Linked DNA regions of Mus musculus. The protein of the gene in region 1 interacts with the protein of each later gene in a biochemical or structural test. Links are inferred from orthologs where the notes say so. Each region holds a gene or a part of one and is shown in the gene's direction. Other genes may lie near its edges. The genes, in order: Lrrk1, Nudt16l1, Plk1, Cwc15, Matk, Bag5 and Cd2bp2.

Region 1 (3,500 bases):
TAAGTTCCGAGTGGAGAGGATAGCAACCCTGCGTGCCTACGTGCTGGCCCTCTGCCGCTCGCCATCGGGCTCCAGGGCTACGGGCTTCCCGGACATCACTTTCAAACACTTGCAGTGAGTATTGCCTACTTCTCTCGCTCGCTAAGATCCCATCCTGCCTGGAATCTGTCATGGGGATGAGCCAGGCTCCTCTGGAGAGAGGATGGCACCCTAAGCAAGGGATAACCCATTAGATGATTAGAGAGACAGGGTTTCCAGACTCCAGAACTGTCCTTCTTTCCTTCCTGGGCCCTCTCCTCCCATAAGGGCCAGTGCCAAGAGCACACAGCTCCCACGGAACAGAGACACGTGAACCTGAGCACCATCCACAGTACTTTCAGATCACTGATCACGGACCAGCATCCCAGTCCTTGCATTGGATCTGCTCACGAGAACTGAGAGCAACTGCTGAGTCTGAAAGCAGCGGCAGACTGTGAAGCAGGGTGGGCTGGTGCTAAGGAGACTAGCCACCCCGGGTGTGTCACTCAATTAACCTCTTGTCAGTAGCCACCACATCGCTAGGGCTGTGATGCTCAGGCCGTGAATCTGAGGCTCAGTAACAGACGTGAGAATCCCTGAGCGTGTGTTGCTGCAGCTACTCTAGGATTCCCTCACTCTGGGTGTGACGGCATGAGTGCTGTGCACAGGTCAGGATGGCCTGTCAGTCAGAATACAGCACCAGGATTTGGAGGGACTCCTGGTATTGCCCCCAAGAAAGACTTGGAAGGGTCTTTAATAACAGGACTGCTGGCTGGTTCATAGTCACAGCCCCAATATGTATGTCTCTTTCTAAGCTGGCACCCTTGGGAGGCCCAGTACCTCTGGGCCTTCCTCTTCCCCTGTGAACTCAGCCTATTGGGAAGACAGACCAAAGCAGCATGTTGTAGGACATCCAACATGGGGCTGTGCACAGAGAAAGGCCTCCAAAGCCTTCCTTCCTAGTCTCTCTTTCAATGACTTCTCGAGGTTTGTGGCTATTTGGGACAAATCTCCAGGGAAACAGGGATGCTATGTGCCCCCGAAGCAAAGAGGTGGTCTGTTGATTAAGCCCCAGTGTTTGCACATACAGTGAGATCTCCTGCAAGAATCTGGAAGGGCAGGAGGGGCTGCGGCAACTGATCTTCCACGTCACGTGCAACATGAAGGATGTGGGTAGCACTATCGGCTGTCAAAAACTCGCCGGCAGGCTGGTGAGTGTCCCCGCATCCCATCAGGTCAGAGGTTCCTCCTTTCCACTGTTGGGGTCCACACTTCCGTCCCCCTTTTGCTATAAGGCACATGGGTGTGTTTAAAGGTCAGTAGTGCCAGGTGGGGGCAGGGAAGGATCCTTGGCCATCACAATAGTCCTGGCATCACTAGATCTGCCGTTACCCTGTGTGTGTGTCCCCAACAGAGGTAGAGCAAAGCCATGCTCAGAGATGTGTCTGCAGTTCTAATGCTGTAAAGGCACATCCTCTGGTCCTAGGACCATATAGTGAGGACGATGGTGGGGAGTGTTGGTGCAGGCAGCACGCACCCCTGGCACCTGATAGGCCCATCTTTGCCCCACCCGCACCCAGATCCCCAGGAGCTACATAAGCCTACAGGAGGCCGTGCTGGCTGAGCAACAGCGCCGCAGTCTGGGTGACCAAGTACAGTATCTGACGGACAGGCAGCTGGACCAGCTGGTAGAGCAGACGCCTGGCAATGATATCAAAGACTATGAAGACCTGCAGTCTGGTAGGCCAGGAGTGGGTACCCAGGCATTGGTATGGGGGACCGGAAGGCTGGCGGAGGGTGGGGTGAGACATCTGTGAGGGTCCTGTTCATCACATCTCCACCTGGACCCTCAGCACAGCAGGCTAGCAGGTTTACGTGACAGCACTCAACACTGCCTGGAGTCTGCCTGCCCATGTGCTGCCTCCCTCCACTTTTCCTTGCTACCCCACCCCTACCATCCCTCCACCTGCCCCTTTTTCCTTGGACAGAGAACATGGCAGCTGTTCTGCAGAGGATGCACGACAGGCAAAAGTCAAACTGGTCACCACCCTCCAGGACTTTGGTCCAGGCTAAACAATTACAACCAGTTCTTATTGTTCATGGTAGTTAGCATCTAAAATGTCGCTATGGCTACTGCGTTGGCAGATACAGACCATTGCTCCTGGAGGAAGATAAGGTTAGGTTCTTGTCTGCTTCTAGTCACACTGGCATCAATGAAGCAGTCAATAACCTTGTTTCACATATGCCTCTGTTCTGGTTTCCTTTCATTTGGTGTGATAAAATATGCTGACCACAGCAACTTAGAGGAGGAGAGGGTTGACTTGGCTTACAATTCCAGGTTCCAGTCCATCACTATGAGTAAGTCAAAGCAGAAATCCTGGAAGTTCATCACATCACATCACATCCACAGTCAAGAGGAAAGGGAAACAAATGGACTCCTGCTGGCTGATTGCTCAGTTCCTTGCTAGCCTTCTTCTTTTTTATACTACTTAGGATTCCCTGTCTAGGGAATGGTGCCACCCACAATGGGCTATATCAATTAATAAGGTAGTCTCCCACAGATACGCCCACAGGCCAAACTGATCTAGCTCATTCCTCAATTGCAATTCTTCTACGTGATTCTTGATTGTATCAAGTTAACAATATACACATACACCTTATCTAATTATGTAACAGGTATTGCTGAAATATTAGGTCATGCAGTGGCCTTTATATAATTTCTGCCTCAACACTGTTTATCTAATGACATATTTTCTCTGTAAATCACAGTCTTGTACGTAGAAACACTAGACAACCTTTTAGCCCTGTTTTGGAGGGTCATTTTAGACAGCAAAATTACCTCCCAGATAACATGGCAATCAATAGACCATAGAAGGGACACTCACGGGATAAGAGCTCGGTTAGGAACATGTACATGGGACCACTCACACTTTGCATGCAGCTCAGCAAGTACCTACACAGAACTGTGGAAGCGCCTCACGGGTTGCTTTAGGAGGATCATGAGTAAATGTCATCATGGGCCTGGCATGCCAGAAGTCTTGGTTTCTTCCTGAGTCCCCTTTGGTCCCATGTGGTTCTGACACAGCTTCCTCCCTCCCTCTTGGCAGCCATCAGCTTCCTCATAGAAACTGGGACCCTGCTGCACTTTCCAGACACGAGCCATGGCCTAAGGAACCTCTACTTCCTGGATCCCATCTGGCTCTCTGAATGCCTGCAGAGGATCTTTAACATCAAGGGCTCGCGGTCAGTGGCAAAGAATGGGGTGATCCAAGCGGAAGACCTCAGGATGCTGCTGGTGGGGACAGGCTTCACACAGCAGACTGAGGAGCAATACTTCCAGTTCCTTGCCAAGTTCGAGATTGCCCTCCCTGTTGCCAATGACAGGTAAGCCCACAGCCCGGAGTCTTCTGAAGGAAGGAAGGAATGGGGTCTTAGGATAATGGTGGCCTCACTAAGATTTCCAGGGCTACCACCACCCAGGA
Region 2 (3,881 bases), on another chromosome or scaffold:
ACCCGCTGCCAAGGTGGCGGTTTGTGCTTGCAGGGCAGCACTGCCCACCACCTGCCAGGGAGGAGCCTGAGCAGCTTCCATAGCAGATCCGTTGCCAGTTACCTGGCCTGTAAGCTTCTTACTGATTGATTGTCTAAGGCTCCTGTCAGAGCCCACCTAGAAGCAGGCTCCTAGTGATACTTTGTTTCCAAGGCAGAAGTGGCCCATGAGTGGCCCCAGAGCAGAGGTGCCCCAGGCAGTGCAGCTCCCTGGTGGGTTGGTAGAGGGACCTCAGCTTAAGGAACTGCCCTGCCACTCACCCAGGTGACAGCCTGTAGCAGTGCATGGAGACCCCTTTAGGCTCAGGGCTGCTCGAGCTCTGACTCTAACCCTGCTCCTTCCTAGCACAGCTCTGCACATCCATCTCTCTCTCTTGCTGAATGCACATATGTGCACACATGTCAGCATGTGCATGCTCACTCCCCCACTTCTCACCTGCCAACATCCTGGCCTCTGGCCGTGGCACTGGTGCCAGTACTTTGAAAGATGGGGTGCAGCCTACACACTTACCTGTCTCAGACTCACATGTACTATCATCTGATGTACTCTGATTGGCTAGTTTGGGTTCATTTTTACTGTATATTTATAGTAATAAAATCATGCAGCAATATTCTATGTGTGCCTTTGTTCTGGCACAGCACTATGTAGGCAGCAGCATTGTTGGCTTTTGGTGTAGTGACAGGACACTAGAGTGGTTTCTGGCAGAACTCCTGACAGGTTTTGTTGCTGCCTTCATTTGCTTGTGTGAGAGGGGCAGTGAGTGCCCCCTCCAAACATAGACAATGGTTTATTGCTATTTTGTTGCTTGCTGTGTCTGAAACTGGACTTGGAATTTGGCTCACCTCCACTGGGCAATTGATGAATCTTAGCCTCTAGGTGGGCAGGTGGTCCTAGTTCTTATACCCATCCCAACTCCTGTGATGTTTACTGAACATTAATCAATGTGCCAGAGAGGGGCAAAGCATAAGTAAGGCTTAGGTCCCCTGTCACTTGAGCTGGAGTCACTTAGACATTTAAGTTTTTTAAGGCATGATTTCATAGGCAGTGGAGCCACAAGCTCTGGGTGAAGCTCAGGGGAAAACCAGCCCCCTCATGGATGAGGTGGATATTGAGACTTCAGATGCCCTCTCAGGGATGTTCGGGACTGGAGACTGACACGTCTTGATAATCAGTGTACCTACCTGCTTAGGACAACCTGGTCTCCGTGCGGTGCGTCTTGGTAGCTGTAGTTTTCTGGTGGTTGTGGGGTCTCCTCTGCAACTTGGAGGGTGGCGAACTACATAACTCCACCCCCACCCCACCCCGCCTCCGCCAGGGTCTTTCCTGGGTTCAACCCCAGAAGCACAGGACTGGTGGAGGCGGGCTTTATGCACGTGGAAGCACGAGGATTGGGTCTGGTGTTGTGGGCGGGGTCGCGCATGCTCGTTTGGGCAGTGGGCCTGGAGCACATCAAGATGTCGACCACGACGGTTCCGGAGCTGAAACAGATCAGTCGGGAGGAAGCAATGCGCTTGGGGCCCGGCTGGAGTCATTCATGCCACGCCATGCTATACGCCGCCAACCCCGGGCAGCTTTTCGGACGTATCCCCATGCGTTTCTCAGTGCTGGTGAGGAGCTGGGCGGGCAAGCAGGGCGGATACAGGCTTGGGACGCCCAGTGGACCCCACGTCCTGACCAAGCTTACCTTGCAGATGCAGATGCGCTTCGACGGGCTGCTAGGCTTTCCCGGGGGTTTCGTGGACCGGCGCTTCTGGTCGCTGGAGGATGGCTTGAATCGGGTGCTGGGCCTGGGCCTGGGCGGCCTACGCCTTACCGAAGCTGATTACCTGAGTTCACACCTGACTGAGGGTCCACACCGTGTGGTGGCACATCTGTACGCACGGCAGCTGACATTGGAACAACTGCATGCTGTGGAGATCAGCGCTGTGCACTCACGGGACCACGGTCTGGAGGTGGGGCTACTGCCTGGGGCCCGCCCCCATTCCCACTCCTGAGGTTTGGCTCTGGCACCACAGAAGGCACCTTGGGTAACAAGTACCCCTCAGGGTCCTCACCCTGGCTATGCTGGGTGGGAAAAGGGACTTGGGATCTGGATCATGGGCTGTTTTCATTTGCCTTGTCTGCCATTGTCAATCCTGGGAGTGGGGCTTGGGGTCACTGGAAGGGATGAACAGGGCCTGCTTGGGAAATTGAGACCAAAAAGACCGGGTTGCATGCAGTGTTTGGGATTATCTCCTGAGAGGAAATTGGGGGATTTGTAGATTCTGTGGTCTAAGGGGCATGGAGTGAAACCAGGGATCATGGGGGTTGCTGCCAGACAGGGTGGGGAGTGCATAGGATTGACCTTGGAACTTGGAGAGAAGGCACTTTACTGCCACCAGCCTGGCCTGGCCAGACCCTGCCTGGGTCTCCCCTGTTTCTTTGGCAAACTGGTGGCTGACAGGCATCTCTGCCAGGGTCCTGCCTCTACAAGAAGAGCCCAGCCCCACTCATGCCCTCTGTCCCACAGGTCCTGGGCCTTGTACGGGTCCCACTGTACACACAGAAGGATCGAGTAGGCGGCTTTCCTAACTTTCTGAGCAACGCCTTCGTCAGCACTGCCAAATATCAACTTCTATTTGCCCTTAAGGTACTCAACATGATGCCCTCGGAAAAGCTGGCCGAGGCCTTGGCCTCAGCAACAGAGAAGCAGAAGAAGGCTCTAGAAAAGCTGCTCCCGCCCTCATCCTGAGGTGCTTCTTGTGCAGGTCCCTGCCCTCCCTTGGCTGTCTCTGCCCACAGGCCCTGGAATTCCCGAGACGCGTGCCTTCTAGTGTGTTTGCTTTTGCATCCCTTCTGACTGCAAGGGACATGCAGGCAGCTGTTCATCATTACTGTCCCAAGCAGTCCCTGGGACCTAGCTACACTCTCAGGTTGGTCAGTGGGGGTGGGCCTGGGCCTAACTTTTCAAGCTGAAGATGCTCTCACCCATCCCAGGGCTCAAACTGTCCTGTGCGAGTCTGTTCATGACTAGTGGAGTCCCAGCTAGAGCCCATTCTTCGAAGGCAACCACTTGGTTGGAACACAGATCCTGGACTGGTCATGGGTTTTGCCCAACAGAGATGACCCACGTTAGACCAACCCTTCTTTCCCTTAGCCCAGAGCCTGACCCAGCGTGGGGCAAGATGTTTATTTGGGTGCTTGTTGGATTTCTCTGTTAGATTTTGTTCTTGGTGTATGAACTGTGGTTTGGTTTCAGAATGGCTGTGCCCCACATGATTTTGTTTTCCCCATGGGGGCCTCTGTGAAGCTGAGGAAGGAAGAAGACAATAATAAAGCCATTCCTCTGATGCTCATGTTGCTTCTGAGTGCCATGGCCACATCTTTCTGAGGTGTGTGGAGGTTGGGCCCCAGACCACAGCCAGCCTCTGAGGGCAACCAATCTCAGTGGCAGCTTGAATTGAGCTCTTGTGGTGATGGTGGAGCTGAAAGCACAGGCCTAGTGTGCAGAAGGACAACAGAAGTGCCACCATGGGACAGGACCACCACTGCTGGCAGTCCTATAGCCTGGTGCAGAAACACTGGGAAGGCTGTGTGCCAGCTCCACTTTAGGGCTTAGCAACAATCCAAGAGCAGGGGAGAAACCCTGGAGCAAGAGTGACCCCCACAGCTAAGGATACAGAGCAGAAGTAACCACACATGGGTTACTAGGGTCTTCTGGTGTCAGGCAGGAATACATGTCAAGTGATCACAAATGAGCCCCCACCAACTTGCATCTAATTTTTATTTTCAAAGAGTACATTTTCTAGGCACCCCAGACCTTGTCTGTAAGATCAGACCTCAGTATGGCACCTGCATGTGCA
Region 3 (3,500 bases), about 56 Mb from region 1:
AGGGTGCTGATGAGTTGATATCCTATTGGATTTGATGCTTCCTCGGGAGTGCAGTGAGGTTCTGCATTCTGAGCAAGAATGCTGTGGAGGGCTTTGCCCTTCTCAGTGTGTCAGGGAGACCGTGTCTCTCCCACAGACATTGTTTCCTTGGTAGTTAATAAATAGCTTGCAGGAAGTTGTTTGAAACTGTAGGGACCACCAGTCTTCGTGGTAGCAATTATTACTGTAATTTCAATTTTGTTTCCCTTTTTGAGACCATGTCTCATGTGGCCCGAACTGCTTGGGTCTCACAGTAGCCAAGGACAACTTTGAACCTGTGCTCCTTCTGCCTCTATATCCTGAGTGCTAGGCTAACAGTCAGGGATGGGCTACCATGCCTAGTTCATGAGCAGTGGGGAATCTAAGTCATGTTGGACGTGTATGTACGGAGGGTAGCTCCCTGTCCTTCCCCGCAGTGCTGGACCTGGGGATTCCTAACTTCCTCGGCGGTGGAGGTTAGAATGCCGCTGTCTTATAAGTATAGTAAAGAAACTGTTCTGTAGACAGCCTCCACACTCACCCAAAGGCAGGGAACCACCTGCATTATCTGTCCCTGGGGCATTCATTTCTCCTTCATTTCCAATAGCTAAATTTAGACAGGCTTGCTTTTTACATACTCTAGTCTATAAACACTCATTTTTGCTAGGTTTTATTTTTTAACTGTGTATGGGTGTCATGCATGTATGTATGTATGTGCACCAGGTACATGTGTGATAACCACAGAGGCCAGAAGATGTTTTTGGATCCCCTGGAACTGGAGTTAGACATGATTATGAGCCACCACGTGGGTTCTGGGAACCAAACCCAGGTCTTTGGCAAGACCAGCAAGTGCTCTTAGCTGCTGAGCCGTCCTCCAGCCCCTTTTTGGCTAGTTTTAAAATCAGATCCTGAGCCAGGCGGTGGTGGCGCACGCCTTTAATCCCAACACTTGGGAGGCAGAGGCAGGCAGATTTCTGAGTTCGAGGCCAGCCTGGTCTACAAAGTGAGTTCCAGGACAGCCAGGACTACACAGAGAAATCCTGTCTCGGAAAACAAAAAAACAAACAAACAAAAATCAGATCCTGAATATTTTATTTCACACTTAAGTTCTTAATGTAGCATGGTGGTTTATTTTTTTTTAATTGAAATTTTAAGAAAAAAAATTGTGCTGTCTCACAGGAGAACTAGCACATGCTGGTCTGGGGAAACAAGCCAGTCGAGTGTAAAGCTCCCCCCTGGCCACCGTAGCCAACTCAAAGCTTTAGTGTGCATGTCATCAGACCTGGGCGGTTTGTAAGCGCACAAAAGCAGAGGGTTACAGTGAAAGGCTTCTGGGGCTTTATTTAAAGGAATCCACCCGTCTTTCCAACTTCCTGGGTGCTCACAGTGCCCTTCACTCTTGAGTTGGTGCAGTTTTGAGTCATTGGTGCCTTCCGATGGCCTCCCTGAGTGACAGCAGCAGCTGCTGTCCTGGGAAGCTAGGCTGTTGGGTTAGAGACCTCTCAGTATAACAATGCCTGCCACTCAAACTGGTGCTGACTGTGTCCCCACATCGCTGATAGTGAAAAAGTTGTAGTTGTCGCCAAAGTCCTGTGCTCCTTCCCCTAGTTTTGTGTCTGTCCAGTGACCGAGTTTTCTTCTCAGGTGTGGAGAACCCCCTGCCTGACCGTCCCCGGGAGAAAGAGGAACCGGTGGTCCGGGAGACAAATGAGGCCATTGAGTGCCACCTTAGTGACTTGCTACAGCAGCTGACCAGTGTCAACGCCTCCAAGCCCTCGGAGCGCGGGCTGGTGCGGCAAGGTGAGTGCTACAGAGAGGTCTGCGCGCCTGGGGAAGGCAGGGCTGCTCAGTCAGCAGAGCACTGGTGAGGGCCCAGACCCACGTGACCTTTGCTTTGCCCGTTTCTTATAGATCAAAATCCAGGTGAGTTAGCCTGACACCCACGGCCCCCCTTGGTGTTTCTTCTGCCTACTTCTGCACCATCTTGTCCTGTAGGTGGCTGGTAGGCCATCTCTGCATCACTGCACATATTGCTCAGGGAATTAATTCCTCCAGAGACTCAGATCAGCTCCAGCTTTAGGGCTTTTGTACCCAGTGTCCCTGCCCTGACACCCGCTGCCATCACTTCTAAACCTGACTTAATTAATTCTCTATAGCATTTCTTCCCAGCACATTTGTGTTTTTGCATCAGGGACTTGTGTACAGTTTTCTAGCTGTTCTAGCATCGCAGGCAGGGGTTGTCAGCCAACTGTCTCTCGTCACTTTAGTCTGGGATACTAGGCCTTCTACCACCCCCAGGGCGAATGATGGAGGGGCCTGTAGCCTGTGCTTCTTCTTCATCCCTGTGGTTGGAACCCGGGCTCTTCTGAAGCCTGTGGGTCTCTTTCCCTGTCCGCACCTCCCACAGCTCATGGCTACAGTAGGCCTAGAGTACAGGGGCTCACTCGTGATGAAGTGGGCCTTGGCATCCTGGGCTACAGTTTTCCATTTGGGTGTCAGGTTTGTACTGTCAGGCTCCTCCTCAGGTTTCATGGGGTGCCATGGGGAGGGCTGCTTGAAAGGAAAGGCGACGGGGCTGACCTAACCATAACCAGTGTTCTGTTTCTACCCCAGAGGAGGCTGAGGATCCTGCCTGCATCCCCATCTTCTGGGTCAGCAAGTGGGTGGACTATTCGGACAAGTATGGCCTTGGTAGGTGTCCCAGAATGTGGAATGGGCAGGGGATGGTGTAGCTGGGGGGCGGGGCGTGGGAAGAATTAAAATTCAGGTCTTCTGCATGGTAGGCAAGCATTGTACTACTGAGTTCTACTGAGTTCTTCCAAGGCCTTTGCCTGTCTCCTCCTGCCTTTCTGAGATAACCCTCCACTTACCACCAGGGTATCAGCTGTGTGACAACAGTGTGGGGGTGCTTTTTAATGACTCAACACGCCTGATTCTCTACAATGACGGGGACAGCCTGCAGTACATAGAGCGTGATGGCACGGAGTCCTATCTCACTGTGAGCTCCCATCCCAATTCCTTGATGAAGAAGGTGAGTCCTGGCTGTCGAGGGGGAGCGTGGCAGGGTAGGGGGCTGCCTCGGGGCCAGGCCCTCATTCTGGAATCCCTCCCCCAACTTTTCAAACTAGATCACTCTCCTCAACTATTTCCGCAATTACATGAGTGAGCACCTGCTGAAGGCAGGGGCCAACATCACACCCCGGGAAGGCGACGAGCTGGCCCGGCTGCCCTACCTACGAACGTGGTTCCGCACACGCAGCGCCATCATCCTGCACCTCAGCAACGGCACCGTGCAGATTAACTTCTTCCAGGTGTGCTGGGGCAGGACGCTGTGCCTGGGGGTGGCAGTGCTGTCTCCCTCACCAGCGGGGCGCCTTCCTCCCCTTTGCCCTCCCCCTGGGCACCTGTTGAGCTCTTCACTCGCTCCCTCCTAGGACCACACCAAACTTATCCTGTGCCCCCTGATGGCAGCGGTGACCTAC
Region 4 (4,065 bases), on another chromosome or scaffold:
GGCAGGAGGCAGACTGTGTAAGTAAAAGCAAGAGGCTGTTTTATCCTAAGTGTCAAAACCACTACCTGGTAATCTGAAAAAATCACTCTGTTTGTGCAAAACTAGGAAAGTCCCTATGAAAGCAATTACAAATCAAGAGGAAATGACAGTGGCCTGAAGGAGTGTGGTGACAAGCAAAGGAACTTCAGGGTAATTTTCACAATACTGGACAAGAGTGGCAGGTGAACAGGATGTGACGAGGGAAGGAAGAGGGTCTCCATCTTTGGGTTTGAGTCACTAATGTGAAAGCGGTGTCCTTTGTGTGAGGCTCAGGGCAAAAATATGAAGCTTTCACCTTCTACTTGGGGAGCGGGCACATTCGGGAGGGAGTGGGTTCTTTTCTAATTCTCTTTCTTCATTTAAAAGTTCCAAAGGAAGGACAGAAAAGAACGGAAATGTTCAATTTTAGGAGACCCTTCCACTTGAGATAAACTGGAGAACAGAATCCTCTTTACCGAGCATCGGCCGTCCCCAAGATCTCAATGATGGGGCACAAGACAACGTTGGCGAAGCCATCTTAATCCCATCTCGTGCTCCTCCTGGCAGTTAGGCCCACTGCTCCATAAATTGTCACTATCGTAAACGCTCACAAGCATCTCCCCTCACGCTACAACGCTTAATGCATATAGCTATATATCTATATATTTATATATCTTAACAAGCAATGCGACTATAACCCTTGCCTTCAAGGCTAGTGGTTTCGCAGGAATGGTACCTTTGGAAAGCTCGTGGCTGCCCCCGTACTTATTTGCGCCTTCTTCATATCCACTTAAGTGACAACTCTAGTCCCTAGGCTGCGGGGTCTACTGAGGAGCAGGAGCCGTTGGGTCGGTCAGTTGGCAAGCTCTCCTCACATCTCTCTTGCGAGACGCGGACCGGCTCCTGGCGCCTCCGTCCTCGCAGAACCGCAGCGAACGAGTCTGGGAGGGGGTCGGGAAAGGAAAAGACGCAAGAGAGATTAAGTAATTGGTTCGCAAAGGAAAAAAGATGATATTTGGGGTCGACTATGAAGCACCGGTTTCAAACGCCCGCCCCCTAAGCTGCCTTGGCTCCGCCCCTAGGCAACGTCATTCCATCTTTTTCCCGTGTCTTTGCTGATTGGTCACTGCGTCAGCCTGTGAGAGACGGTTTAAAAAAAAAAAAAAAAAAAACACACACACAACTCCGGAATTGCTTCCGGGTGTGGAGTTCGCATCTTCTCCACAGCCATTGGAAGTGCGAAGGTTTTGCTTCCGGGTCTCAACCGAGCCCCTGGTGTAAAAACTGGAAGCTCTGCATTTTGTTTCCGGTCTTGGGCCTGGCGCCCCCGGCGCCGAGATTTCTGGGAGCTAAGGGTCGCATTGGTTCATGAGTGAGTTTCGGAAGGTGCTGCGTAGGACCCCCGCCAGAGTGAGCAGCCGGGCATGGTGGTTTGTGGTTCTTGTGTGGGTGGCACCGGGGAGCCGAGTCGCCGCCGCAGCCCGTGACGATCGTACAGGCCGCGGTGCAGGGATGGTGGTCCGGAGCTGAAGCCGAGCCCGGGGCGGTCACCGGTGCAGCGCCTCAGACACTGAGAAAAGCAAAGGAGGGTGGGATGGGGAGAAACTCCCACTTCACACACGATCTGTGTGAGCAGCTGCTTAAGCTAACGGAGATTTAGTAGCCCTGCAGTTAGGCTGCAATTCTTATTTGACAGCTAAAAATGGCAAAGGTTCTCTTGTAGCCTAGGCTAGCTTCGAACTCCCGATTCTTTTGCTTTCACCTCCCAAGCTCTGGAATCACAGGAGTACCCCCATCATACCCAGTTCAGGATGGGTTCTTGATACTTGGTTGGGTGGAGTTCCGATTTTCTGAGCATCGCGGAAGTTACAGCCTTGATAAATGTTGTGGTAACTGCTTTAGAAGAAAATTGAGTCAACAAGATTCTGGGGTAATGGTTGCCCATGTAAATGTCACTGGGGACTTTAAACAAATTTTAACATAATAAGTTTGACTGTGACTTTAAAAGAAATTTGTTTTTTATTGGGTTCTTTGCTGTAGTGTGAGGTTTCTGGTAGAACAGCAAATCTTGGCCGGACAGTTACATTGTGAGATCCTATAATTAAAAAAAAAAAAAAAAAAGAATAAATTTTTTTTAAAAAAGAATAAAATAAAATCTCAGAGAAGCTAGTGCTAGTGGGATAACATTTTTTTAAGTCATTTATTTTAAAAGCTACACTACACTGTTGTGCAAGATCTGACATCATGTATGGGAATCTCATAATACTATAGAAATGTCGGCATTCCACAAATGACAGAAACGAGCTAGAAGACTTGCCCAGGGCTACCCAGCCAGAACAGAAGCACTAACTCAGATCTTCATAGTAGTTATTTATACTGAATAAGAGTTGCCTAGTAAACACCCTGAGTTTCATAATTCGGATTTTTAGGAACTTGTGTTGAAGCAAACTAAGCAATTTTGGGGAGTTTGAGAAGGATTTAAGAATAGATATTTTTGAGTTATCTGTAAAATGAAAGTATAACTTAAATTCACTTTTGCCGAAGACTAAAAGATGACAACAGCAGCCAGGCCAACTTTTGAACCTGCAAGAGGTGGGAGAGGAAAAGGAGAAGGGGATTTGAGCCAGCTCTCCAAGCAGTATTCAAGCAGAGATCTTCCCTCTCATACAAAGATAAAGTACAGGTAAGAAGGCCTTCATTTGTCTTGTTCACAGAATGGGACCAAGCCTCTCTCTATATATATGTATGTATATATATGACTTATGGTCATGTCTAAATTATAGTATTTAGGTTACTGATCTCCAAAGAGAAGTATTTCAAAAAAGTTTACAATAAAATTACGCCCTACAGGTAAAGTTGCTAGACAGTCTTCCAGCATAAGTTCCTTTGAACCAGGAATTGCTATGTGTAGATGAAGCACTCATTAGTCATGATAATCACATCAGAGAAGACGGAGCTGTAGTGAATATGGAAGTGTTGCTCTAACAGCCCTTGAATTGGTGGACTGTTTTAAAAAGCCGAAGACATGGGTTAGAGAGATTTCTCAGCAGTTAAGAGCACTGCTCTTCCAGAGGTCCAGAGTTCAATTCCTAGCAACCAGATGGTGGCTCACAACCATCGGAGGGGTCTGATGTCCTCTTCTGGTGTGTCTAAAGAGAGCAATGGTGTAGTCATATACATAAAATAAATAAATCTTTTTTTTTAAAAGCCAAAGACATTCTGTTGTAGGCAATTGTGTGCTTTAGTTTGTTGTTCTAGTGATAAGGAACACTACGAGTGTATTAACCCTCAGATTGGGATATTGTCTTATCTTCTTCCTTTTTGTTGTTGACAGACAGTTACATTCTGGATTGTCTTAAATTGTTGAAGCTATATAGGTTCTTTTCCTTGACAAGTGAGGCCAACATTTTTGACGTGTTTTGTTTTGTTTTTCCTACTTAAGACAAACCACACAGGATGCCCCTGAAGAGGTTCGAAACCGTGACTTCAGGAGAGAACTGGAAGAGAGAGAGAGAGCTGCTGCAAGGGACAAAAACAGGGACCGCCCAACTCGAGGTACCCGTACTGTCCGTCATGTCTGTCTCAGTTGTGTGCAGAAACTGTGTGTATCCTGGTAATTGGAAATAAGTAGCATTTTTGTGAGCTGTATCTCTTTGATGAATGATTAGAGATGAGAATGAGGTTTGTTCCAGTCCCATGCATTGATACTATCATGCATTGATACTAGGCCTTCTGTCTGGGACACCGAATGTAATTGAAGAGTTTTGAGAGAAGCATCAGTTATCCTTTTTGTGTTTCTACTACATGTGAGCATTGGGTAGGTCTCCTAAGATGCTGTGATCTGCATTCTCACTAATTCATTTCGTGTAAACCAACAAATATTTATCAAAGACTTACTTGCCAGTCACAGGGTGGATCCCGGGTGTCACTATGCTTTGTGTGGATTCTTTTTGCCCAAAGGTTTCTAAAATGGTTTTAAAAATTTAGTACTTGGGCTGGAGAGATGACTCAGTGGTTAAGAGCACCACCTCTTCCAGAGGTTCTGAG
Region 5 (4,139 bases), on another chromosome or scaffold:
AGATGAGCTACTATACCTGAATTTTTGCATAGTTTAAGGTTTTGAACTCAGATCCCTCGTGTGTGCAGCAAATGATTTCCCTACTAAAACAACTCTCTGGCTCACTACCATCATTATAGCTTGACAATAACACTTCTCTTAAAAGATCTGTCTTGGGCTGGAGAGATGGCTCAGCAGGTAAGAGCACTGACTGCTCTTCAGAAGGTCCTGAGTTCAAATCCCAGCAACCACATGGTGGCTCACAGCCATCCGTAATGAGATTGGATGCACTCTTCTGATGTGTCTGAAGACAGCTACAGTGTACTTACATATAATAAATAAATCTTTTAAAAAAAAACTGTCTTGAAAAAAACAAAAACAAAAACAAGGAAATGTCCTCTGTACCCTGATCTTCTCATGCTCCTGCCTCAGCTTCTCCCAAGGCTTGGATTGCAGGCTATGTCCTTCAACCCCAAGGGCCAGTGCCGTTTCAACACATATACTTCTCAGGTAGCCCAGGCTGGCCTTAAATTGACTACGTAGCTGAGGATAACCTTAACTCCTGATCCTTCTGCTTCTGCCTCTCCAGTGCTGAGGTGACAGGCCTGTGACACCACAGTGTGTCACCCATTGAGCCCCAGTCCCCACTTTTGGATCTTTGCTAACTGTAGGTACTAGAATAAACATCTGTACAAAGTCCACTGGTAAGACAATTGGAGGAGGTCTCGCTAGGCCCGTGCCAGAGCGAGTCAGAAAGCAGTTGGTTACTGCAGAGCACTTGGACCACTACTGCACCCGTGGGGCATCTGCCGGCAGTGTGGGTGGTGGCTGATGGTGACAGGAGGGAGGGAGCCTGTGACTCAGACACTGTCATCAGCAATAGGGTCCGAGAAAAGTGGAACTTTGGGCTGCCTTGGTTCCAAGTCTCTGGGCCTCCCTGGCCAAGGACTCCTCAGTGGGTACCTGCATCTGCCTGGGGACTTGTGATTAAGGACTGTGGCTTCTGGCCGTGTCATGTCCATCAGGGTGCTTCTAGGCACCTCTGCCCAAACGTGCTTAATTACTTAATTGGGTTTTATTTGCTTTTTTTTTTTTTTTTTTTTTTTTTTTTTTTTTTTTGAGGCAAGTTCTTACTCTGTAGCTCTCTATTTTAGCCCAGGCAGGGTTCCAACTCACAGAGATCCTCCTGCTTCTGCCTCCGGAGGGCTGGGAGGATGTTTGAGTGCTCCACAGCTGGCATGTCTGAAAGTACAGGCAGACCAGGCAGGGCCGCAGCTTGCCTTGGTCTCCTTCCCGGACAGGGAGCTCCTTCCTACTCCTAGCACCTGCGCGCGTGCCCGAGCCATTCCGCGCTCCCAGCTTTCCCAGGGTGGGCGAAGGAAGGCTAGGATTCAGCGGGGACCCGAGAGCACCCGGCACTTGGTACTCAGCACTCTGCCCGGACGGAGTGGGAGGCGCAGCGGGAGGAGGTGGCAGCGCGGTCTTAGTGAGACCGGCGCTAGGACCCGCGGGGGCTCCGAGCCGGGTCCCCTCCATCCTTGCCCCAAAATGAGGAAGCCTTGCAAGTTGCTCCGAGTTGAGCCACTGGGTGCTCGACCCGCTGGCAGGGACCCTCCGAGGGTCGCGCCCTAAGCAGGTGAGCGTGTGTGCGTGGGTGGAGGGGGACACCACTCTCGAAACGGTCCTGGACCCGGGGGCGTCGGGTGCAACGGGCTGGTTTTTGTTTTATTTTGGTTTTTTTCTGGGTGCGGCGTGCAAGTCTCTGAGTGCGCGAGTCCCGGTGGTCACTGCAGGGCCCTTGTGCACCACAGGCACCAGCACAGGTGTACGCGTCTCACTGGCGCCCTTGTCGCACACACGGGGGTGGCTGGTGGCACCTGTGCCCAGATGCACGTGCGCCTCCGCCTGCGTGGCTGCCGTGCAAACCCCACTGAGTCTGAGGCCAGGAGCGCACCCCAACCTCCCGCCCTGCCCCCCTGCCAGCCACCAGCCGGGGATCCGGGCAGCCCTGCAGTGCCTGCGCTGGGATGGGGTGGGTCCCCTCAAGATGCTTCTTTGGTGACCCGTTGCGACCCGAGGAGCCAGGAGCTATACGGGAGCCTGGCCTCCTCAGGTTCCGCTTAGGGTCAGATTCCCAGGAATGACCTTGAGTCACGGCCCCTGCCCACAGCCTCCTCTGCCCACGCCCAGGAAAGAGGAAGCCACAGGCCCAGTTCTTTCTCACACACAGCCCTGGCTGCCACCTGGGCCAGATCACTCCATTCCTGACTCTGGGCCTCAGTTTCCCTTCCCGAGCAATGGCAAGGCGAAGCTCCCGGGTCTCCTGGCTGGCCTTTGAAGGCTGGGAATCTAGGGACCTGCCTCGGGTAATGATCACTGTCCCTAAAGCCAAGGGCTGCAGAGGGGCTCCACACCTAAGCCATCCAAGGGATGATTTGAGGGAGGCGCTTTGCTTCCTGGATGCTGCTGCCACCAGGCCAGACCCTGAGGAAAGAGCTGGACCTGGGGACACTCCCAGCATGACACTGCCTTCCTTCACAGGTGAGCCCTAGATTGTTCGGAGCTTGGCACCCCGCGCCTGCTGCAGCTAGGATGCCAACGGTGAGTGTGGGGCCCTGAGTCACCAAACCTTTTCAACTGTCCCCTTTTGGGGGGGAACATGCCCCTCCCCACTTGAGCAAGCACCCACACCTGACAGTCCCCAAGGACCCCTCTCCCCCCACCCGCCAAAATGGCTTCACGTGACTATAATTCTGCCTCTCTCTATAACTCTGTTTCCCTCCCCCCTTCCTTTCTGTATTAGACATTATCCCCAGGCCTCTATTCTTTATTTTAATTTATTCTTGAGACAGGGTCTCAATGTGTAGGTATGCCTGGCTTGGGACCTGAGAGTCTCCAGGCTAGCCTCAAACTCAGAGATCCACTTTCCTCTGCTACCCCCACCCCTGCCCTGAGTTCTGGGATTACAAGTGTTGGCCAGCACTCCTGGCATCATCATCTTTTAATTTTTGAGACAAAGTCTCACTGTAGCCCAGGATGGGCCTTTGGCTGGTTTGGAGTCCTCCTGGCTCAGCTTTCTGAGAGCTAGGCTACAGGCCTGTGTCTTCACTATTCCCTTGTCCGGTCTTCTATCCTCACCAGCCCCAGCTTTCTCTCAGGTCTCTCTGTCCCTCCCAATTCCCACTTGTCCCTGTGTTCAGTCCCTGACATACCTCTGCCTCTGTCTCCTTCCCAGCAGCGCTGGGCCCCTGGGACTCAATGCATGACCAAGTGTGAGAACTCTCGCCCCAAGCCCGGTGAGCTAGCCTTTCGAAAGGGTGACATGGTGACCATCTTGGAGGCCTGTGAGGTGAGAGGGGAGCTGGAGGGTAGGTGGTGTGCCTTGGGGGTGCCAGGGCCGACACCCACCAGCTCCTTCCCCACATCTGTTCCCTTCCTGTACAGGACAAGAGCTGGTACCGAGCCAAGCACCATGGCAGTGGGCAGGAAGGGCTGCTGGCGGCCGCTGCTCTGCGACAGCGGGAGGCCCTCTCCACAGACCCCAAGCTCAGCCTCATGCCGTGAGTGGCACCCTGGGGGGTGGTGTGAGAGGCTCAGCCCCCTCTACCCCTGCCTTACACAGCCCCCTCTCCACACACATCCCTACAGATGGTTTCATGGCAAGATCTCCGGCCAGGAAGCCATACAGCAGCTGCAGCCACCCGAGGACGGGCTGTTCCTTGTGAGGGAATCAGCTCGTCACCCTGGAGACTATGTCTTGTGTGTCAGTTTCGGCCGTGACGTCATCCACTACCGTGTTTTGCATCGAGATGGGCACCTCACCATCGATGAGGCCGTGTGTTTCTGTAACCTGATGGACATGGTGGAGGTGACGTGTGGGGCAAGGCTGGGGAAGGAGGGATGGAAATATGGATGGTGGCCCCAGGAACTGTCACTTCTTTCTCTAGAACTGGGGTCACCTCCCCAGGGAGCTCTATGTTCACACCAACCACCCCTCAGTTTCCATTCTACAACCCCCACTGTTGCCATGGAAACCCGATCACCTTAGCCTGGCACTTAGAGGAGGAGTCTGGCAACCTCACTGAAACTTGGGGTGGGATGGTGGGAGCGGTCCTGCAGGGCAGAGGCTCATGGCCGGCGGCCTCCACAGCACTACACCA
Region 6 (4,088 bases), on another chromosome or scaffold:
AAATCTAAACTGGAGTAGTCAGAACTTCAAAGCTAAAAGTGTGCAAGGAGACACAGCATAGCAGAGATGAAAATTTTCACAGCAAGCACATTTTGCAATTCTTAATTTTCTCCATCTCTCTTCTCTCTCCTCATCCCTCCTTCCCTCTCTTCATTATTGCTTAAACCAAGCTCTCTAGTCTCTATCACTAGCTTAGTGGTCATTGAAGTGTTAGTAGCCACTGATTAATGTTTTACCTCCAGCCTTAGCGTTTTCATATGACTGATAGACTCTAAACCTAGGCCTTTTTTTTTTTTTCCCGAGACAGGGTTTCTCTGTGTAGCCCTGTCCTGGAACTCACTCTGTAGACCAGGCTAGCCTCAAACTCAGAAATCTGCCTGCCTCTGCCTCCCGAGTGCTGGGATTAAGGCGTGGGCCACCACGCCTGGCAACCTAGGCCTTCCTTAAGCAAAGCATTCTGTTGCAAAGAAGTGCAACTGAGGGCTGGTGAGATGGCTCAGTGGGTAAGGGCACCTGACTGCTCTTTGGAAGGTCCAGAGTTCAAATCCCAGCAACCACATGGTAGTTCACAGCCATCCGTAACGAGATGTGAACTCCCTTTTCTGGAGTGTCTGAAGGCAGCTACAGTGTACTTACATATAATAAATAAATAAATCTTAAAAAAAAAAAAAAAAGAAGTGCAACTGACTAAAAAAAAAAAGCTTTATTTAGTTTTATATATGTGAGTGCATTGTTACTGTCTTCGGTGTTCCTAACAGCTGAACCATCTCTCCAGCCCAGCAATTGTTTTTTTGAAAAAGGCTTCACGCCCATTCTTGCTGCAGACCTGCACTGTGGATCTCTGACATCGCGTGCACGTTTACAAACAATGCGAAGTCTACAGAAGTGGGATGATGAAGTCAGCCACGGCTTTAAGTCGAACACTAATCTTAACGATGCGAAAATGAGAAAGAACACCCTTCAAGAGCTGTGTTAATACAAATGGGAATTAACTCGGGGATAAGCAAGGCTCGCGCTCTCCACAGCGGATCCCGGGCAGTGATCATCAGTCCGTCGGAGAGGTGCAGGCGGCGTGGGTTTGCTCGGCGGCCTTCCTCCCTGCCAGCGCCCCCGGCGTCCCGCTTACCCGGCTGGACGCCGCATCCCTGTGATCCGTAGGGCGCTCACGGGCCAACCTAACGCCGCCGCCGCCGGAGAAGGACCGGCAGAGAAGCCGGCGAAGCGCTCTGCTTCCGGGCCGCAAAGCCGCCATGGCCCGCGCGTACGGCAGGATCGCGACAGTGGAAAGGTTGGCGTTACGGCGGCGTCGCAAAGCCCGAGCCGACGCGCGGCGAGGCCGACCGTGCGCATTCCCTGGGACGGACGCCGGGCGGCGGGGCCCGCGCGGGACGAGGAGAGGACAAGTTTTCCCCGGGCTCACTGCTGACGGGCCCGCTCTGCGAGGACGGCGACAACGCTGCGGAAGTGTAGGTGGCGGGGCGCGATGGCGCGTGCGGCCCAGGTGAGCGTGGGGCGAGGGCGCGAGCTCCGTTCTCCCGGCCTCGGGCGCTCCGCCGCCCTCGCTGCGCAGGCCCGCGCCCGCCGCGCGCCCATTGTGAGGTCAGGCGGCGGCGCGTCCGGCCGGGCCGAGACCCGGGAGCGGCCGCCGCGGCCAGTAGCTGCCGCCGCCTCCGCCGGCCCCTTCACCGGCTGCCCGGGTCAGACCTAGCCGGGAAGGGCGAGGGGGGATGCCGCTGGGGGCACCGCTGCGGTGCCGCTCCCCGTGAAGGGCCGATCTCCCACCTCGCAGCCCCCCGCGGCAGCCAAGACCGCCGCCGCCCAGACCTCCCGGGGTAAAAGCTCTGCGAGGGCCGGGCTTGGACCCTCCCGGGGACTGAGTTCTGTGGCCTGCCCGCCAGAAGTGAGCTGTTTGACAGAAACCTGAGAGCGTGGGAAATGCTCTAAGCGCACATACCGGGAGGCGAGTGACCGAGTTAATCGCAGTCGGCAGGTTTGGGCGGCGGGTATTTGAAGTCAGGGTGAGGATTTGGAAGTTTCGTAGCTCCTCTTTCAGAAAAGTAGAAAGTTAGCTAGCTGTCTGGACGAATGGTGCTCCTGTGAGTGTGGAAGAGCTACTGTTAACTTCCAAACTGGTTCCAGAGAGTAGATTAGGATGGGGGGGGGGGGGATCTAAGGAAATTGTGTTGCTAACCTGGTGGGTTGACTAGAATGGCAGTGTACGCAGCTCGCTCTCATGGTTTAAGACAGAATTCATAGGCCTAGACATCCACCCAGGCTGGATCATGAGGACCTTCTGTCTGTCGTTCAAATCCCTACCGTGTTCCCCTATTTCCGTTTTGCTTTGAATTCTTAGGGTCACCAAGTAGCCCATGGTGATCTTGAATTCGTAGTTCCCTTTCCTCTGTATCCCCGACGCTAGGATTGTAGGGATACACCAGCACACCGGTGAGCTTGCTTTGTTTTGTTCCTGTCCAGCTGTTTTCAGGAGAGGGAGTTGACATGTCACATCTTCCCTTTCCTCAAGCAACCTTTTACACCTTTGACGAAACCTTTTGTGTATTTTGGTGCATGCCCAGGTGCCAGAGTTTGGCCTCCCTGCCCGCCCACCATCATTTCCTTGGTGTCCTTTGACTTTGGCTTTTGAAGTGGGGCTTCCCATGGTCCTGAAGGTCCTCGGTTAGGCTAACCTGGGCTGGCCAGTGAATCACGAGATCCATCTATCGCCGTCTCCCCGGCACTGGCTTGCCTGGCTTTTCTGTTTTACTTCATGGGCGTTGGCGCTTCGCCTGCATGGATGTCTGTGCATCACTGTGTGCCTGGTGCCTCTGAAGACAGAAAGGGAATCAGATGCCCTGGGACTGGGGTTACCTGTGTGGTCATGCACTGTCATGTGAGTGCTGGTAATCAAACCCAGGTCCTCTAGCCAGCACCTTTAACCACTGAGCCCTCTCTCCAGCTCCGCCCCAGCTTTTTTTTTTCCACATGTGTTCTGGAATTCCAGCTTGGACACTTGATGAAAAATTATCTCCACAGCCCGAATGAGCCCTTTTAACAAGTGTACTAAGAAGGAGTGTTTAGAGTGGGTTCTTGTCCTGCAGAGACTAATACGTTATCATTCTTGCTATCTTTCAGTGCTTGTGAAACTGAACACAGAAGTATGGATATGGGAAACCAACACCCCTCCATTAGTAGGCTTCAGGAGATCCAGCGGGAAGTAAAGGCTATAGAGCCGCAAGTGGTCGGCTTCAGCGGCCTGTCGGATGACAAGAACTACAAGAGGCTGGAGAGGATTCTGACCAAACAACTTTTTGAAATTGACTCTGTGGATACGGAAGGAAAAGGAGATATCCAGCAAGCTAGGAAGCGGGCGGCACAGGAGACAGAACGTCTCCTCAAGGAGTTGGAGCAGAATGCCAACCACCCACACCGCATCGAAATCCAGAATATCTTTAAGGAGGCTCAGGCCCTTGTGAAAGACAAGATTGTGCCCTTTTACAGCGGAGGCAACTGTGTGACTGACGAGTTTGAGGAAGGCATCCAGGACATCATTCTGAGGCTGACGCACGTGAAGACCGGAGGGAAGGTCTCCTTGCGGAAAGCCAGGTACCGCACGCTCACCAAGATCTGCGCGGTACAGGAGGTTATTGAGGACTGTATGAAGAAGCAGCCGTCCCTGCCACTGTCTGAGGATGTGCATCCTTCAGTGGCCAAAATCAACTCTGTCATGTGCGAGGTGAACAAGGCCAGAGGGACGCTGATCGCACTTCTGATGGGCGTGGACAGTTCCGAGACTTGCAGGCACTTATCCTGCGTGCTGTCAGGACTGATTGCTGACTTAGATGCTCTAGATGTGTGTGGGCGTACAGAGATCAGAAATTATCGGAGGGAGGTGGTGGAAGATATCAACAAATTACTGAAATACCTAGACTTAGAAGAGGAAGCTGACAGTACACATGCATTTGACCTGGGACAGAACCATTCCATTATAAAAATAGAAAATGTTCTCAAGAGGATGAGAGAGATAAAAAATGAACTTCTCCAGGCGCAGAGCCCTCCTGAGTTGTACCTGAGGGCCAAGACAGAGCTGC
Region 7 (4,008 bases), about 61 Mb from region 1:
TAGATTGGGCTGGGTTCTTGGTCAGCAGCTTGGTGCAGTTCCCTGGGCGTCTAGGGTAGACTAACTGCCTGGGGTTCATCCCAGCAGGTACACACAACCAAACTGCGCAGCTCTTGTTTTCTGTGGCTAGATCTTTGCCACACACCCTCTACTCCGGGTCAGGATGATAAAGGTGTGGGCTTCTGTGGCCGTAAAGCTCCACTTGGCACTTCTCAGCAGAAAGGGGATCAGGGTGTGTGGTCTCCAGGTAGAGAAAACCCCCTCCGGATGAACCAGCAGTGCTGAGAGCTGCTTTCTTCAGGGTCCTGTCTGTAGCAAGATGCCCTCCTGGTCTAGAACTTGTGTTCTGTACCCACAGAAGTGAAGTTTCATGATTCACAATGGGAGAAAACCCTGGAGGAGAAAGGCGTGGTCCATCTGGCTGCCCTCTTCCAACTCTAGTAGGATCACCGGAGCTATTTAGCCGAGGGTGGGGACGGGGGTGGAGGCGTTGAGGTTTGAGTTGTTCCCCAGAGCTCCAGATCTAAACCTCACTATTGGGGAAGATCTCACCTGGCCCCAGCTTTGCAGGAGCTGGATCCCAGCCCTTTGGCAGTTTGCTAAGGGATGAGGTAGGCTTCGTGTAACTGATGGGCTTCTGCCTGGTTACAGGCCACGGACGGAAGCCAGTGGCACCTCCTGTGATGGTTGTCCCGCTACAGAAACTAGGAATTAAGTGGGAGAATAGACATGGTGCAAATGACTCCTGGGTTCTAAAAGGGCTTGGTTTGGAAGGTGCCCGAGCGCTTATAATCAGAAGCAGGACTCAGAGAGAAGAGCAAGACTTTCTTTAAAAATAGACGGTCTCATGTTGTATCCCAGACTGTCGTCAATCTCGCGACAATCAATCCTGTTTCAATTTCCCGAGTGTTGGGACTGCGTTAAGATCGGAAGCCCGGGTGTCTACTGAAGGCCACTAGGCGTACAGAACCCTATCCATACATGCAAACGGAAGCCCGAAGCCTCTGTTCGGCCTGTGCCTCTCCATCCAGGCCTTGGGAACCTCTTAGCACACCACGTCCTTATCCTCACTGTAGCCTCCATCGTAGAGGAATAATAAAACATTTCCCGCCATCCTCAAGTCCCGTGAGGCAAGGACGTAGTTCACGCGAGTCTTTGCAGGTCTTGCGTCACTTCCTGCCGCGAGTCGGCCTTGGCTAATGGTATGCATCCGCCCTTTTTGAATAGAAGTGAAGCCACTTCCGGGTCCTATGCCGGTCTCCACGGTTTTTTTCCGGGTGATGAAGGCGGGTGCCCCGGATGTAATACCGGCGAAAGCATCTTTCCTTTTCTTCCCCGCCTGACCCTGGGTTCCTAGGTGAGCACCGGCGGGTAAGATTGTTTGAATCCCCGCGGGTTTGCTTCGCCTTTAGTTTGTACGCCAAGGACATGGCCGAGCAGGTCGCTACGTGGTATTCGGGGATCTAGGCAGCTCCAGCTCTTGGGTCCGACCGGCCTCTGTGAGCACTCGGGTGGGAGAGGTGGTTGAGTTCGGTAGCTCCGGACTGGTAGGGGAGTGGTGACGTAGGGGAACCTGACTCCCCATCCCCGGGTGGGAATACCCGCAGGGTCCACGCGGGGGCGGAGATCCTTCCCATCGCCTCTCCTCCGGGCCTCAGAATTGCCCAACCAACCCCGGACGTCGTGCCTGCTAGTTCTCTCAGATGCTTTAGCGATCTGTCCTCGCTCACATTTACCAGGAAAAATGTTGGTGGCCCCTGCACTCCCCCGCGGTCCTCTCTCCTTACCTCACTTCCTCACTACATATCTTTTTCCGAGGTCCAGCTGGAGGAAATCCACAGCCAATCATGCCAAAGAGGAAAGTGACTTTTCAGGGTGTTGGAGATGAGGATGGTGAAGATGAAATCAGTGTGCCCAAAAAGAAGGTGAGATGGCCAGATTTCGAATTTCCGTGGAGGACTGAGAGGAAAGAAGAAGGAGAAATCTGATGGGAGGAAAGCCGGGAAGCCAAGGAAGTGTTAGTTTTCCCCGGCGCACTGGGTTTGGAAAGATTTGTGTACAGATCCTGGAGTATCTGGGGAACTACCCAGTTGGCTGCATTTCTCATTTGCTTCGGCCTCCTCACAGCTGGTGGACCCTGTGGCTGCAGCAGGTGGTCCTGGGAGCCGCTTCAAAGGCAAGCACTCTTTAGACAGTGATGAAGAGGATGATGATGAGGAAGGGTCCAGCAAATATGATATCCTGGCCTCAGAGGATGTAGAAGGTGAGCTATGTCCGAAGCGTTAACTGAGTTGGGGGGACAAGCCTTCAGGATGGAGGTGGGAGGTGTGCCTGCTTCCCTTTTGCGTGTCTAGCATGCCCCACCCCCAATGTCTTCGGTGCAGGTCAGGAAGCAGCTACTCTCCCTAGTGAGGGCGGTGTGAGGATCACACCCTTCAACCTGCAGGAAGAGATGGAGGAAGGCCACTTTGATGCTGATGGCAACTACTTCCTGAACCAGGATGCGCAGATCCGAGACAGCTGGCTGGACAACATTGACTGGGTGTGGCCCAGGGACTATTCTGGCTGAGGCCTGGGAGTGCAGGTGCAGGGCCTGGGCCCTGGTGGAAGTTTGTAAGAAATTCTAATTATCTTTTCCTTGTAGGTGAGGATCAAGGAACGGCCCCCTGATAAGCACCAGGTTTCAGACTCGGAGGAGGAAGACAGCCTGGGTCAGACTCCAATGAGCGCCCAAGCACTCCTGGAGGGACTTTTGGAGTTGTTGTTGCCAAGAGAGACAGTGGCTGGGGCCCTTAGGCGGCTGGGGGCCCGAGGAGGAGGCAAAGGGAGCAACAGCAAGGGGACTGGACGGCCCAATTCCCCCCAGCGGCTAGACCGGCTGTCTGGGTTAGCTGACCAAATGGTGGCACGAGGCAACCTTGGTGTGTACCAGGAAACAAGGGAACGGTTGGCTATGCGACTGAAGGGTTTGGGGTGTCGGGCCCAGGGATCCCATGACCCCACACCTCCACCCTCCCTGGACATGTTTGCTGAGGAAGTAGCAGAGGGTGAACTGGAAACCCCAACCCCTACCCAAAGAGAGGGTAAGTTTGGAGGGCACGGGTGGGGGGCAGTGTGGGCTGGAGACTGAGTGCTTGAGGCCCAAGTATCGTTCATTGTGTTAGAGGCAGAGTCAGCAGGAGATGGCCTGATGGATGTGATGTGGGAGTATAAATGGGAGAACACGGGGGACGCCGAGCTGTATGGACCCTTCACCAGTGCCCAGATGCAGGTGAGCTGCCCCCTGCCGCGTCTGTCCCATCTGTCCAGCCCACCTTCTGTCAGCTTGCCTGAGTTCTGTCCTCTGTTCTTACAGACGTGGGTGAGTGAAGGTTACTTCCCGGATGGTGTTTATTGTCGGAAGCTGGACCCTCCGGGCGGCCAGTTCTACAACTCCAAGCGCATTGATTTTGAGCTGTACACGTGAGCCCGCTAAGGGCCCCATGCGGCACGGCAGCCCCTTCTTTCTTGAACTTGGCAGAGGAAGCCCCAGCTGCTCTGGGCAGTGAGGATATTGGAGGCCACTTTAAAGCCATTGTTTCCCAATAAAAGCCTTGACTGTGCGATGGCCAAGAGCCAGGGCTTCTCCATAGCTCCTTTTGGCTTCACCTGGTAGGTCCCTGAGCGTTTCTTCCCGAGAGACTTCCTCACTTGCTTCTCTCTGGTGTCTTGGACCACCTCAGTTTTTTTTCCCACCCTTGGAGGCAGAGGTAGGGCCCATCAGATGTCCTGTGACTTTCCTACGTAGACAACTTCTACTTGCTGTGTAAAATTCCCTCCATCACTCTTTTCTCCAGTCTCCCTTGCAAGTCCCTGTTCTGCTGATCTTTGACTTTTAGGACCTCAAATGCTCTGTCCTGGCAGCTCCCTTGTAGCTGGGACATTGGGAAGACCTTGAAATCCTATTGAGAGATTCTCTTAAACATGCATTCTCTTCTTCCATAGTCTGATTTTTCTACCCCTCGCCCC

The links.
Region 2: the proteins of Lrrk1 (region 1) and Nudt16l1 form a complex in vitro, tested with the Homo sapiens proteins (2 studies listed by BioGRID and IntAct, with this or other methods). The link is inferred for Mus musculus from reciprocal best matches to the Homo sapiens genes LRRK1 and NUDT16L1.
Region 3: the proteins of Lrrk1 (region 1) and Plk1 form a complex in vitro, tested with the Homo sapiens proteins (2 studies listed by BioGRID, with this or other methods). The link is inferred for Mus musculus from reciprocal best matches to the Homo sapiens genes LRRK1 and PLK1.
Region 4: the proteins of Lrrk1 (region 1) and Cwc15 form a complex in vitro, tested with the Homo sapiens proteins (2 studies listed by BioGRID and IntAct, with this or other methods). The link is inferred for Mus musculus from reciprocal best matches to the Homo sapiens genes LRRK1 and CWC15.
Region 5: the proteins of Lrrk1 (region 1) and Matk form a complex in vitro, tested with the Homo sapiens proteins (2 studies listed by BioGRID and IntAct, with this or other methods). The link is inferred for Mus musculus from reciprocal best matches to the Homo sapiens genes LRRK1 and MATK.
Region 6: the proteins of Lrrk1 (region 1) and Bag5 form a complex in vitro, tested with the Homo sapiens proteins (2 studies listed by BioGRID and IntAct, with this or other methods). The link is inferred for Mus musculus from reciprocal best matches to the Homo sapiens genes LRRK1 and BAG5.
Region 7: the proteins of Lrrk1 (region 1) and Cd2bp2 form a complex in vitro, tested with the Homo sapiens proteins (2 studies listed by BioGRID and IntAct, with this or other methods). The link is inferred for Mus musculus from reciprocal best matches to the Homo sapiens genes LRRK1 and CD2BP2.

Annotation. Positions count from the first base shown.
Region 1 is NC_000073.6:66,287,342-66,290,841, reverse strand, and holds part of Lrrk1 (leucine-rich repeat serine/threonine-protein kinase 1), read left to right. Parts: coding exon 1-114; intron 115-1,108; coding exon 1,109-1,229; intron 1,230-1,598; coding exon 1,599-1,758; exon of another isoform or gene 1,759-3,125; coding exon 3,126-3,402; exon of another isoform or gene 3,403-3,500.
Region 2 is NC_000082.6:4,937,648-4,941,528, forward strand, and holds Nudt16l1 (tudor-interacting repair regulator protein), read left to right. Parts: upstream 1-1,463; 5' UTR 1,464-1,493; coding exon 1,494-1,646; intron 1,647-1,723; exon of another isoform or gene 1,724-1,730; coding exon 1,731-1,991; coding exon of another isoform or gene 1,992-2,033; exon of another isoform or gene 2,034-2,066; intron 2,067-2,548; coding exon 2,549-2,770; 3' UTR 2,771-3,381; downstream 3,382-3,881. UniProt on the Homo sapiens protein: Key regulator of TP53BP1 required to stabilize TP53BP1 and regulate its recruitment to chromatin.
Region 3 is NC_000073.6:122,165,935-122,169,434, forward strand, and holds part of Plk1 (serine/threonine-protein kinase PLK1), read left to right. Parts: intron 1-1,662; coding exon 1,663-1,818; intron 1,819-2,631; coding exon 2,632-2,709; intron 2,710-2,894; coding exon 2,895-3,049; intron 3,050-3,146; coding exon 3,147-3,329; intron 3,330-3,452; coding exon 3,453-3,500. UniProt on the Homo sapiens protein: Serine/threonine-protein kinase that performs several important functions throughout M phase of the cell cycle, including the regulation of centrosome maturation and spindle assembly, the removal of cohesins from chromosome arms, the inactivation of anaphase-promoting complex/cyclosome (APC/C) inhibitors, and the regulation of mitotic exit and cytokinesis.
Region 4 is NC_000075.6:14,499,354-14,503,418, forward strand, and holds the start of Cwc15 (spliceosome-associated protein CWC15 homolog), read left to right. Parts: upstream 1-1,265; 5' UTR 1,266-1,428; intron 1,429-2,562; 5' UTR 2,563-2,570; coding exon 2,571-2,701; intron 2,702-3,460; coding exon 3,461-3,573; intron 3,574-4,065. UniProt on the Homo sapiens protein: Involved in pre-mRNA splicing as component of the spliceosome. Component of the PRP19-CDC5L complex that forms an integral part of the spliceosome and is required for activating pre-mRNA splicing.
Region 5 is NC_000076.6:81,255,960-81,260,098, forward strand, and holds the start of Matk (megakaryocyte-associated tyrosine-protein kinase), read left to right. Parts: upstream 1-1,339; 5' UTR 1,340-1,615; intron 1,616-1,870; exon of another isoform or gene 1,871-2,011; intron 2,012-2,081; exon of another isoform or gene 2,082-2,276; coding exon of another isoform or gene 2,277-2,345; intron 2,346-2,520; coding exon of another isoform or gene 2,521-2,571; coding exon 2,572-2,580; intron 2,581-3,214; coding exon of another isoform or gene 3,215-3,217; coding exon 3,218-3,328; intron 3,329-3,423; coding exon 3,424-3,539; intron 3,540-3,627; coding exon 3,628-3,847; intron 3,848-4,129; coding exon 4,130-4,139.
Region 6 is NC_000078.6:111,710,457-111,714,544, reverse strand, and holds the start of Bag5 (BAG family molecular chaperone regulator 5), read left to right. Parts: upstream 1-1,288; 5' UTR 1,289-1,501; exon of another isoform or gene 1,502-2,018; intron 2,019-3,132; 5' UTR 3,133-3,157; coding exon 3,158-4,088. Other genes in the region: Coa8 (cytochrome c oxidase assembly factor 8), read right to left, coding at 1,127-1,252. UniProt on the Homo sapiens protein: Co-chaperone for HSP/HSP70 proteins. It functions as a nucleotide-exchange factor promoting the release of ADP from HSP70, thereby activating HSP70-mediated protein refolding.
Region 7 is NC_000073.6:127,193,278-127,197,285, reverse strand, and holds the start of Cd2bp2 (CD2 antigen cytoplasmic tail-binding protein 2), read left to right. Parts: upstream 1-1,208; 5' UTR 1,209-1,357; exon of another isoform or gene 1,358-1,824; 5' UTR 1,825-1,847; coding exon 1,848-1,925; intron 1,926-2,127; coding exon 2,128-2,263; intron 2,264-2,384; coding exon 2,385-2,542; intron 2,543-2,644; coding exon 2,645-3,083; intron 3,084-3,164; coding exon 3,165-3,271; intron 3,272-3,355; coding exon 3,356-3,466; 3' UTR 3,467-4,008. UniProt on the Homo sapiens protein: Involved in pre-mRNA splicing as component of the U5 snRNP complex that is involved in spliceosome assembly.